2 linked regions of the Tamandua tetradactyla genome follow. The protein of the gene in region 1 purifies or fractionates together with the protein of each later gene. This does not show direct contact. Links are inferred from orthologs where the notes say so. Each region holds a gene or a part of one and is shown in the gene's direction. Other genes may lie near its edges.

Evidence for each region.
Region 2: the proteins of CD2BP2 (region 1) and SART1 purify together in Homo sapiens (affinity purification with mass spectrometry; 4 studies listed by BioGRID and IntAct, with this or other methods). This does not show direct contact. The link is inferred for Tamandua tetradactyla from reciprocal best matches to the Homo sapiens genes CD2BP2 and SART1.

The regions. Positions count from the first base shown.
Region 1 is NC_135349.1:24,206,025-24,209,769, forward strand, and holds CD2BP2 (CD2 antigen cytoplasmic tail-binding protein 2), read left to right. Parts: upstream 1-821; 5' UTR 822-901; exon of another isoform or gene 902-915; intron 916-921; exon of another isoform or gene 922-1,043; intron 1,044-1,442; 5' UTR 1,443-1,466; coding exon 1,467-1,544; intron 1,545-1,741; coding exon 1,742-1,871; intron 1,872-1,994; coding exon 1,995-2,152; intron 2,153-2,256; coding exon 2,257-2,689; intron 2,690-2,770; coding exon 2,771-2,877; intron 2,878-2,946; coding exon 2,947-3,078; 3' UTR 3,079-3,209; downstream 3,210-3,745. UniProt on the Homo sapiens protein: Involved in pre-mRNA splicing as component of the U5 snRNP complex that is involved in spliceosome assembly.
Region 2 is NC_135335.1:8,562,248-8,565,992, reverse strand, and holds the start of SART1 (U4/U6.U5 tri-snRNP-associated protein 1), read left to right. Parts: upstream 1-1,478; 5' UTR 1,479-1,585; coding exon 1,586-1,901; intron 1,902-3,634; coding exon 3,635-3,695; intron 3,696-3,745. Other genes in the region: TSGA10IP (testis-specific protein 10-interacting protein), read left to right, coding at 350-491. UniProt on the Homo sapiens protein: Plays a role in mRNA splicing as a component of the U4/U6-U5 tri-snRNP, one of the building blocks of the spliceosome. May also bind to DNA.

The DNA.
Region 1 (3,745 bases):
TCCAACCCCAGCTTCTCAGCACTGGCCAAGACTCATCACCTGCATAAGGCACCACAGGTTGGGGCCTTGTTTGGTAAAGGGGAAGCTTTATCCTGTGGCTGTAGTTTCAGACACATGCTGCTACCCTTTTTCATGCCTACCTGACAGCAGGGTTCGAGGGGCCTGGGGCCTGGATACTGCGCACTGGTCCCACTGAGTTGGCTTTCCGACCTGGAAACTAGGAGCTCATCCTGGGGCGGGGCATGGGGCAAATGGGTCCTAAAGGGAACTGGGTTCTGAAACCAAAGTGTGGTCAAGGGCCCCCGAGGCGCATCATCTGAAGAGCCGGGCTTCCTCTCGACGGGAAAAAGAGTAAAGCCACTCCTCCCAGGCTATGAAAGAAGATGGCAGAATATTAGACGCTCTGAGTAGGAAGGGAGAATTTCTCAGAAATGATGAGGGCGCAGAACCCTTGGCCAGCCCTGTAGGAAGGGTGACTCGAACACTGGAAAGAAAAACTAGGGCAGGAATCGTTGATTCTGCTTGGACTTTGCCCCTCTATCCAGACCCCTGGCGCCCTCTTAAACCGAGTGGACTCCACTTTCCCCAGAGCCTCAACTGCTGTCTTACGGAATCGAAACCACTTGCTGCCACCTCTCTGGTATGATCAGGCATCCATATATCCTCTTTTCTTGCTATGGCCTCCCCACGCAGCTCACGTCACCTCTCGCGGTGGGTGTCTTCCCTCTTTCCCTGAGTACTTCCGCCCGCTCTTCCAGTTAGTGTAAACGCAGTGAAGCCACTTCCGGCTTTCTTTGGCGCCTTCCGCATTTCTCTTCCGGGTAGTGGCGCCCGGGTGCCCCGGATGTAACTCTAGCGACAGCCTTCTTGCTTTCGTTCCCCTCCTCCCCTGGAGCCCCAGGTGATCGCGCGCGGGTGGGTTTCCTGGGATCCTCGTATGCTTGCCGTCCCTCTAATTTGTATTCGTACCCCAGGATAGTTAGGGGTTGCCCCGCGGAATTGGGAGTTCGGCGTAAGAAGGAGCAGAGAGGCCCGGACTCCAGGTCCTGAGTCCGCGCGGGCCCCGCGGTCTCTGGAAACTGGGCGGCGGGAGGGGGTTGCGGTGTAACCCGCGGAGCCCTGTTTCGCTGTGGCCTGCGGGGCTTGGGGATGAGGGTGGTCACATGGGGGAAGCTCTCTCCTTTGGTCAAAAATGGGGGTACCGACGGTGGCCATGGGAAAATCCTTTACAGTCCCTGCTTCAGCCACGTTCTTGAATGCCAGACCAAACCCCTGAGGTCGACTGTCTGCCAGCTCCGCTTTTGGCTCCTGACTCTAATGCTCCCTCGCCTCCCGAACTGGACCTGGCATGTACCGGAAGAAAAATTTGCTGTGCCAGGGGCCCTCTGGTGGCTAGTCTCCACCTCGCCCAGATCTCTAATTCTCCACTCTTCTCGGCACAGCTTAGGGGATCCCACCGTTCCGTCATGCCAAAGAGGAAAGTGACCTTCCAGGGCGTGGGGGATGAAAATGATGAGGATGAAATGATTGCCCCCAAGAAGAAGGTGAGGGGACCAGACTCCTGCGTTCTGGGGGACTAGTAGAGAGGAGGCAAAAGCCTGAAGAGGAAGGAAGTTGGTGGGACAAAGATGTTGGAGGGTTGGCTTTTCCATATTGTTTTAGGAGTGGGTTTGGAGGATTTTCAGTTTGGGTCAATGTTTTGGGGAGCAGCCAGTAACCTTCATCTCTCACCTGTATACAGATGGTGGACCCTGTGGCTGGGGGCCCTGGGAGCCGCTTCAAAGGCAAACACTCTTTGGACAGTGATGAGGAGGATGACGACGAGGAGGGGTCCCGCAAATATGACATCCTGGCCTCAGAGGATGTGGAAGGTGAGCCATACCCCAAAATTTGACTCTCAACTGGAGGGACAAGGAGGGGCTTCTGAGTTGTGGGGCAAGGGAGATTCTTGTCTCTTTTTTGCCTCACATAGAGAGTCTATGTCTTTGGTTCAGGTCAGGAAGCAGCCACACTCCCCAGCGAGGGGGGTGTGCGAATCACGCCCTTCAACCTGCAGGAAGAGATGGAGGAAGGCCACTTTGATGCAGATGGCAACTACTTCCTGAACCGGGATGCTCAGATCCGAGACAGCTGGCTGGACAACATTGACTGGGTGTGGCCCAGGGGATGGCATGTCTGTGGCCTGGGGGCAGTGGGTGCTGGACCTGGGGCCTTCTGGCAGTTTGTAGGAAGTAAGTCCTTTGTCTTCAATTACAGGTAAAGATCCGGGAGCGACCACCTGATCAGCGCCAGGCCTCAGATTCAGAGGAGGAGGACAGTCTGGGCCAGACACCGATGAGTGCCCAAGCCCTCCTGGAGGGCCTTCTGGAGCTGCTGCTGCCAAGGGAGACAGTTGCTGGAGCATTGAGGCGCCTGGGAGCCCGAGGAGGAGGCAAAGGGGGCAGCAAGGGTCCTGGGCGGCCCAGCTCCCCCCAGCGCCTGGATCGACTTTCGGGATTGGCTGACCAGATGGTGGCCCGGGGCAACCTTGGTGTGTATCAGGAGACTCGGGAACGGTTGGCCATGCGACTGAAGGGGCTAGGGTGCCGGACCCAGGGGTCTCATGATCCTACACCCCCACCCACTCTGGACATGTTCGCTGAGGAAGTGGCAGAGAGGGAGCTGGAGACGCCAACCGCTGTCCAGAGAGGTAAGTGTAGAGGGCAGAAAAGGAAGGTTGTGGGCAGGGGAAGGGCAACTGAGGCCCAAATGGCTTTGTCTCTTGTTTTAGAAGCAGAGTCACTTGGGGATGGTCTGGCGGAAGTGATGTGGGAATATAAGTGGGAGAACACAGGGGATGCTGAGCTCTATGGGCCTTTTACCAGCACCCAGATGCAGGTAAGCTCCTTTCTGCTTTGTTCTGCCTTGTCTCCCTTACCCTTCCCCCTGCTTCCAGTCCTCCCCCAGCTCTGCCCTCTCTCCCTGCAGACCTGGGTGAATGAAGGCTACTTCTCGGATGGTGTATATTGCCGGAAGCTGGACCCCCCTGGTGGTCAGTTCTACAACTCCAAACGCATTGACTTTGACCTCTACACCTGAGCCCATTGCGGGCCCAGGATACTGGCCCCTTCCTTCCTGGACTCTAAATTGGCCCCAACTGCCTCAGGCAGTGAGGACATTGAGGGCCACCTCTCAGTTTCCTTTTCCCAATAAATGCCTTTAGTTGTGTATTGGGGCCTTGGCTCTGCTGGTGACCAGAAGCAGGGGGCCTCTTCCACAGCCCCTATGGAGTCACCTCAGTCCTTGAGTATTGCCTCCCATGAAGTTACTCCTTGGAAGTTTCTCTGTGTTCTCTCCAATCACCTCATCTTTGTTTACCACTCTTGTGGAGCAGATCCAGGGCCTGTCAAATGTCCGTGGCCTCCCCACCTGGACTCTGCCATCTGAAAATCCCATCACTCACCCTCCAGGCTCCTCTGTTAGTTCCTGTTTTGCTCTTCATAGGACTTTGGCCTTCAGGACATTAGAGTCTCAGTTCTCACAGCCAGCAGGAGATAGAGCCCCAGGAGTGGAAATATTAGGCCTTGAATGGCTGGGACATCTGGTAGATTTTGTGATCCTTTTGGGAGTGAGCAGGAAGCATCTTCCTCACTGGCTCCCCACTCTCTCAAGCTCCTTAGAAGTCGGACAGAAACAGGTTGTGTAAGTCAATATTATCTAAGACCTCTAAGATCTTCAGAGCCAGTATGTTTTCATATTTTGGCTC
Region 2 (3,745 bases), on another chromosome or scaffold:
TTCAAGACCCAGGACCAAGTAAGCAGCCGAGCCATTTTGGGTCACGGCAGCCATCTGTGCAGCCATGCGTCAAGCCTCCTTATGGGGCTGGTGCCACACTGGTTGCCCTATGTCTACTGTCCCTTACTTCTGCAGAGCAGGGCTCCTGAGGTCCACTCCACAATAAGGAAACTGAGGCTCGGGGAGGTGACATCCCTTACCCAGGGTTACACAGCAAGCTAGCACAGGAACTGGGATTTGAACCTACGTTGTCAGACACATGGCCTTTTCCCTCCTAGCGCCGAAGGGTGGGGAGTGGAGGGTACAGCTGTGGCGTCCTGTGGCCTCTATCTGTGTCCTCATCTTTAAGGAGCCACAGACCATCAGGGCTGAGAACAGAGCCCTCTTCTCAGAGCCCCCCGAGGACACAATCCAGACATGCCGGCAGCCAGCCTGACTGGCGCTCTGCTCCCAGCCGGGACCTGGCGTCCAGTCCCCCAGATCAAAATTAAATGATCTATGGAAAATACAGCGTGGGATTTCTGGGGTGGACAGGGGGAGGGAGATCTGCTAGTTGGTTGTAGGAGGTGGCAGGTGTCTGCCCCCACCTCCCCCAGGAGCTGACTGTTCTGTCTGCTCAACCCCCTCCCCCAACATACACACAACCCAGTCTCTGAGGGGTGGGGAACCCATGCCCAGTCTCCAACATGGAAGGCACACGTGGTCCTAGGAATTCAGGAGTGAACAGGACAAACAAGGCCCTTGCCTTTGAGGATCCCCAGTGAACACTGGTGGTGGTAGTGGTGGTGGGGTTGATCTTCAAAGCGACCTGCACAACAACCATAGCAGGGGACTGACGGGGAGCCGCCGGAACCCAGCAGCGGAAATGAGCAATTTTGGGTAGGGGGTGTCCGAAGGATTGTGTGAACTGGGCCTTAAAGTTATAGACCCCCCCCCAAAAAAGCAAAACAAAACCAAAAAAGTTACAGACCCCCTCCTCAAGATAAAAACAATGGCCACACACAGATGCGCCATATTTTGCACTCAATTTTCAAGGGATTCAGACACAAAAGCTCGTCTGGAGCTTCTTGGCAGTTCACAGACCCCAGGCTGAAAAGCCCCATCCAGGGGACATCGAAAGGCAGCGATGGCTGACTGTGGTGGTTACAGAAGCCCGGAGCGGGCTGAGGAGCTGGGGGTCTGCAGGAGGTCACGCTGCACTGTTCAACACTCGATGGAGTCCACTAGGAGGACGCCTGTCCACGGAAAGGCCGTGAGGCAGTGGGCACCGCGTGGCTGCAGGTGACACAAGCCAAGGCGGGGTTTCCAAGCTCTGGGGTTCGATCTTCCGCAGACCCTGTTCGCACACCCAAAGGAACGCATGCGCAGTTGAGCCGACTGAGCAAACCTCCCTCGCCTGCAGCCAAACGCACTTTGGGGCGCCGACCTCGGCCTTCCCGTGAGCCTCTGGGTCAGCCTCCGCGCGACCGACGGAAGCAGCCGCTCTTGGTTTCCGGCAACACGGCAGCCGCCGGGCGACCCGGAAGCGTTCCCATTTTGCGTCGTCGGGGCTCGGCGGCGGCCCGCTCGGGGCAGACGTTCCACCATGGGGTCGTCCAAGAAGCACCGCGGCGAGAAGGAGGCGGCCGGGACGACAGCGGCGGCCGGCACCGGGGGCACCACCGAGCAGCCGCCGCGGCACCGGGAGCACAAAAAACACAAGCATCGGAGCGGCGGCGGCGGTAGCAGCGGCGGCGGCGAACGAAGGAAGAGGAGCCGGGAGCGCGGGGGCGAGCGCGGGAGCGGACGGCGCGGAGCTGAGGCCGAGGCCCGGGGCGGCGCGCACGGGCGGGAGCGCAGCCAGGCCGAGCCCTCCGAGCGGCGTGTGAAGCGGGAGAAGCGCGATGACGGCTACGAGGCGGGTGAGGAGTAGGACCTGCGGAGGGACGGGGCCTTCAGGGGTCCCGCCGCGTGCGGGCCTTGGGATTAGGGACAAGTGCTCGCCGAGCACCGCCCCGGGTTCTCTCCGTCAGCCCTAGTTACTAAAGGGTCCTCCTTTGAGGCTCTCTAGAGACCTCAGTTGTCTGTCACATCACAGGCCTTAAATTGATGTGTTGAGTAAGTTAAAGGATGAATGAATGAGGTCACTATAGTGTGTGCAGATTGTCCTTAGGGCAGCAGGGAGTCATGGATTTCAGTTGAGAAGTGAGATGATCAGATTCACATTTTGTAAAGTTCGCTGCTTGGAGGGGTGGATTCAGAGTAGGCAAGACTGGAGGCAGAAAAACAGGTGTGGGCTGATGTTGGACAGTGCCAAAGCAGCAGCAATGGAATAGAGCCCGGAGACAGATGGAAGAAGTGCTTAGAAGTCAGAACTTGGATGAGGGTGGTGAAGGAAAGGAATTGAGGATGGCCCGTTGGATTTTGACCTGAGCATCTAGGTTGGTGGTGGAGCTGTCTATTGAAATGGGGAAGATGAGAGGAAAAGCAGACTTGTGGGAGGAGGGGAATAATAAATTCAGTTTAGGGGCATATTGAGTTTGACATGCATGGAGAAACACAGGGTCAGGGCTGAATAGGGTCATTTGCGGGGGTATGAGTATTTGGTTGACAAATGAAGTCCACTGAGAAAGAGTGAGGTGTGAGAAAAAAGGGTCAGGACGGGAACCTGAGAAATGCCAACGTTTTAGAAGTGGGCAGAGGACAATGCTCCAAAAATGCAGGTAGAGGAGCCAAAGGAGGAAAACCAGGTGAGTCTCAAGCATGAGGTCTGCGGGAAGAATGTTTTTGTTTGTTTGTTTAAGATAGTGGTTTTAGAAGGGGAGTGACATGCCACAAGAGATTAAGCAAAACCAGAACTAAAAAATAGCTAATAGGTTTAGAAATGGGGCTGTTGACCTTGGAGAGAGCTCAAAGGGGTTGGAATCTTAGGCCCAGGTGGAGAAAGGAACCTTTGGATAAAGAGGTAGGTTGATAGGGTGGGAATGCAAGCCAGGTGGCAGCTAGCTGGGGTGTCTAACTTCTCTCTGTGATGTTCAGTGAAGTAATTTGCTGTTTGTGAAGTGGGTGGAAGAGGACTGAAATGCTTTTCTGTCTCTGTTCCCAGCATCCAGCATAACAGAACTGGCACTAAAAAGTGTTTGCTTCTTGATATATGAATCACATGTGTAGATTTGGTCAGCCCCTGACTCAGTCATGCTGCCCTTATGGTCCCTGTACTGTCAGGGAGAAACAGCCCCAGAAATAGTAACCGTGCTATGGGTTTCAGGAGAGAGCAGTTAGTTCTGATCCAGTAATTGACAGGCCTTCACAGAGAAGATGGTGTTTCATCTTTGCATTTGGGTAGGATTTTACAGTGCAAACAAGGCCAGAGCGAGGGCAGTGCAGGTTGAAGGTGCAACGTACAAAGGTAGAGAGGTGGCAGTGTGAGGGAGGGATGCAGAAGATTGGCCCTCTTGGGACAGAAAAGGGAAGTATGTAGAAGCAGGATTCTCAGAGGCTGCAGCTCAGATAGGAAGAGTTGTTAGGAGGAAGACTGTGAGGGAAGGCCACAGTTGCTGCTGTTTGCAGGTGTCTCAGCAAGGCTCAGGTGCTGGATAAGGGATGCTGGCATCTTGACCCTGGTTCAGCTCCTAAGCCACATTTCTTGTTCCAGCTGCTAGCTCCAAAACCACCAGTTCAGGAGATGCCTCATCACTCAGCATCGAGGAGACCAAGTAAGTATTGTGTTCCTTGTAGTTCTATTTTTTTTCCCCCCTGAGAGAAG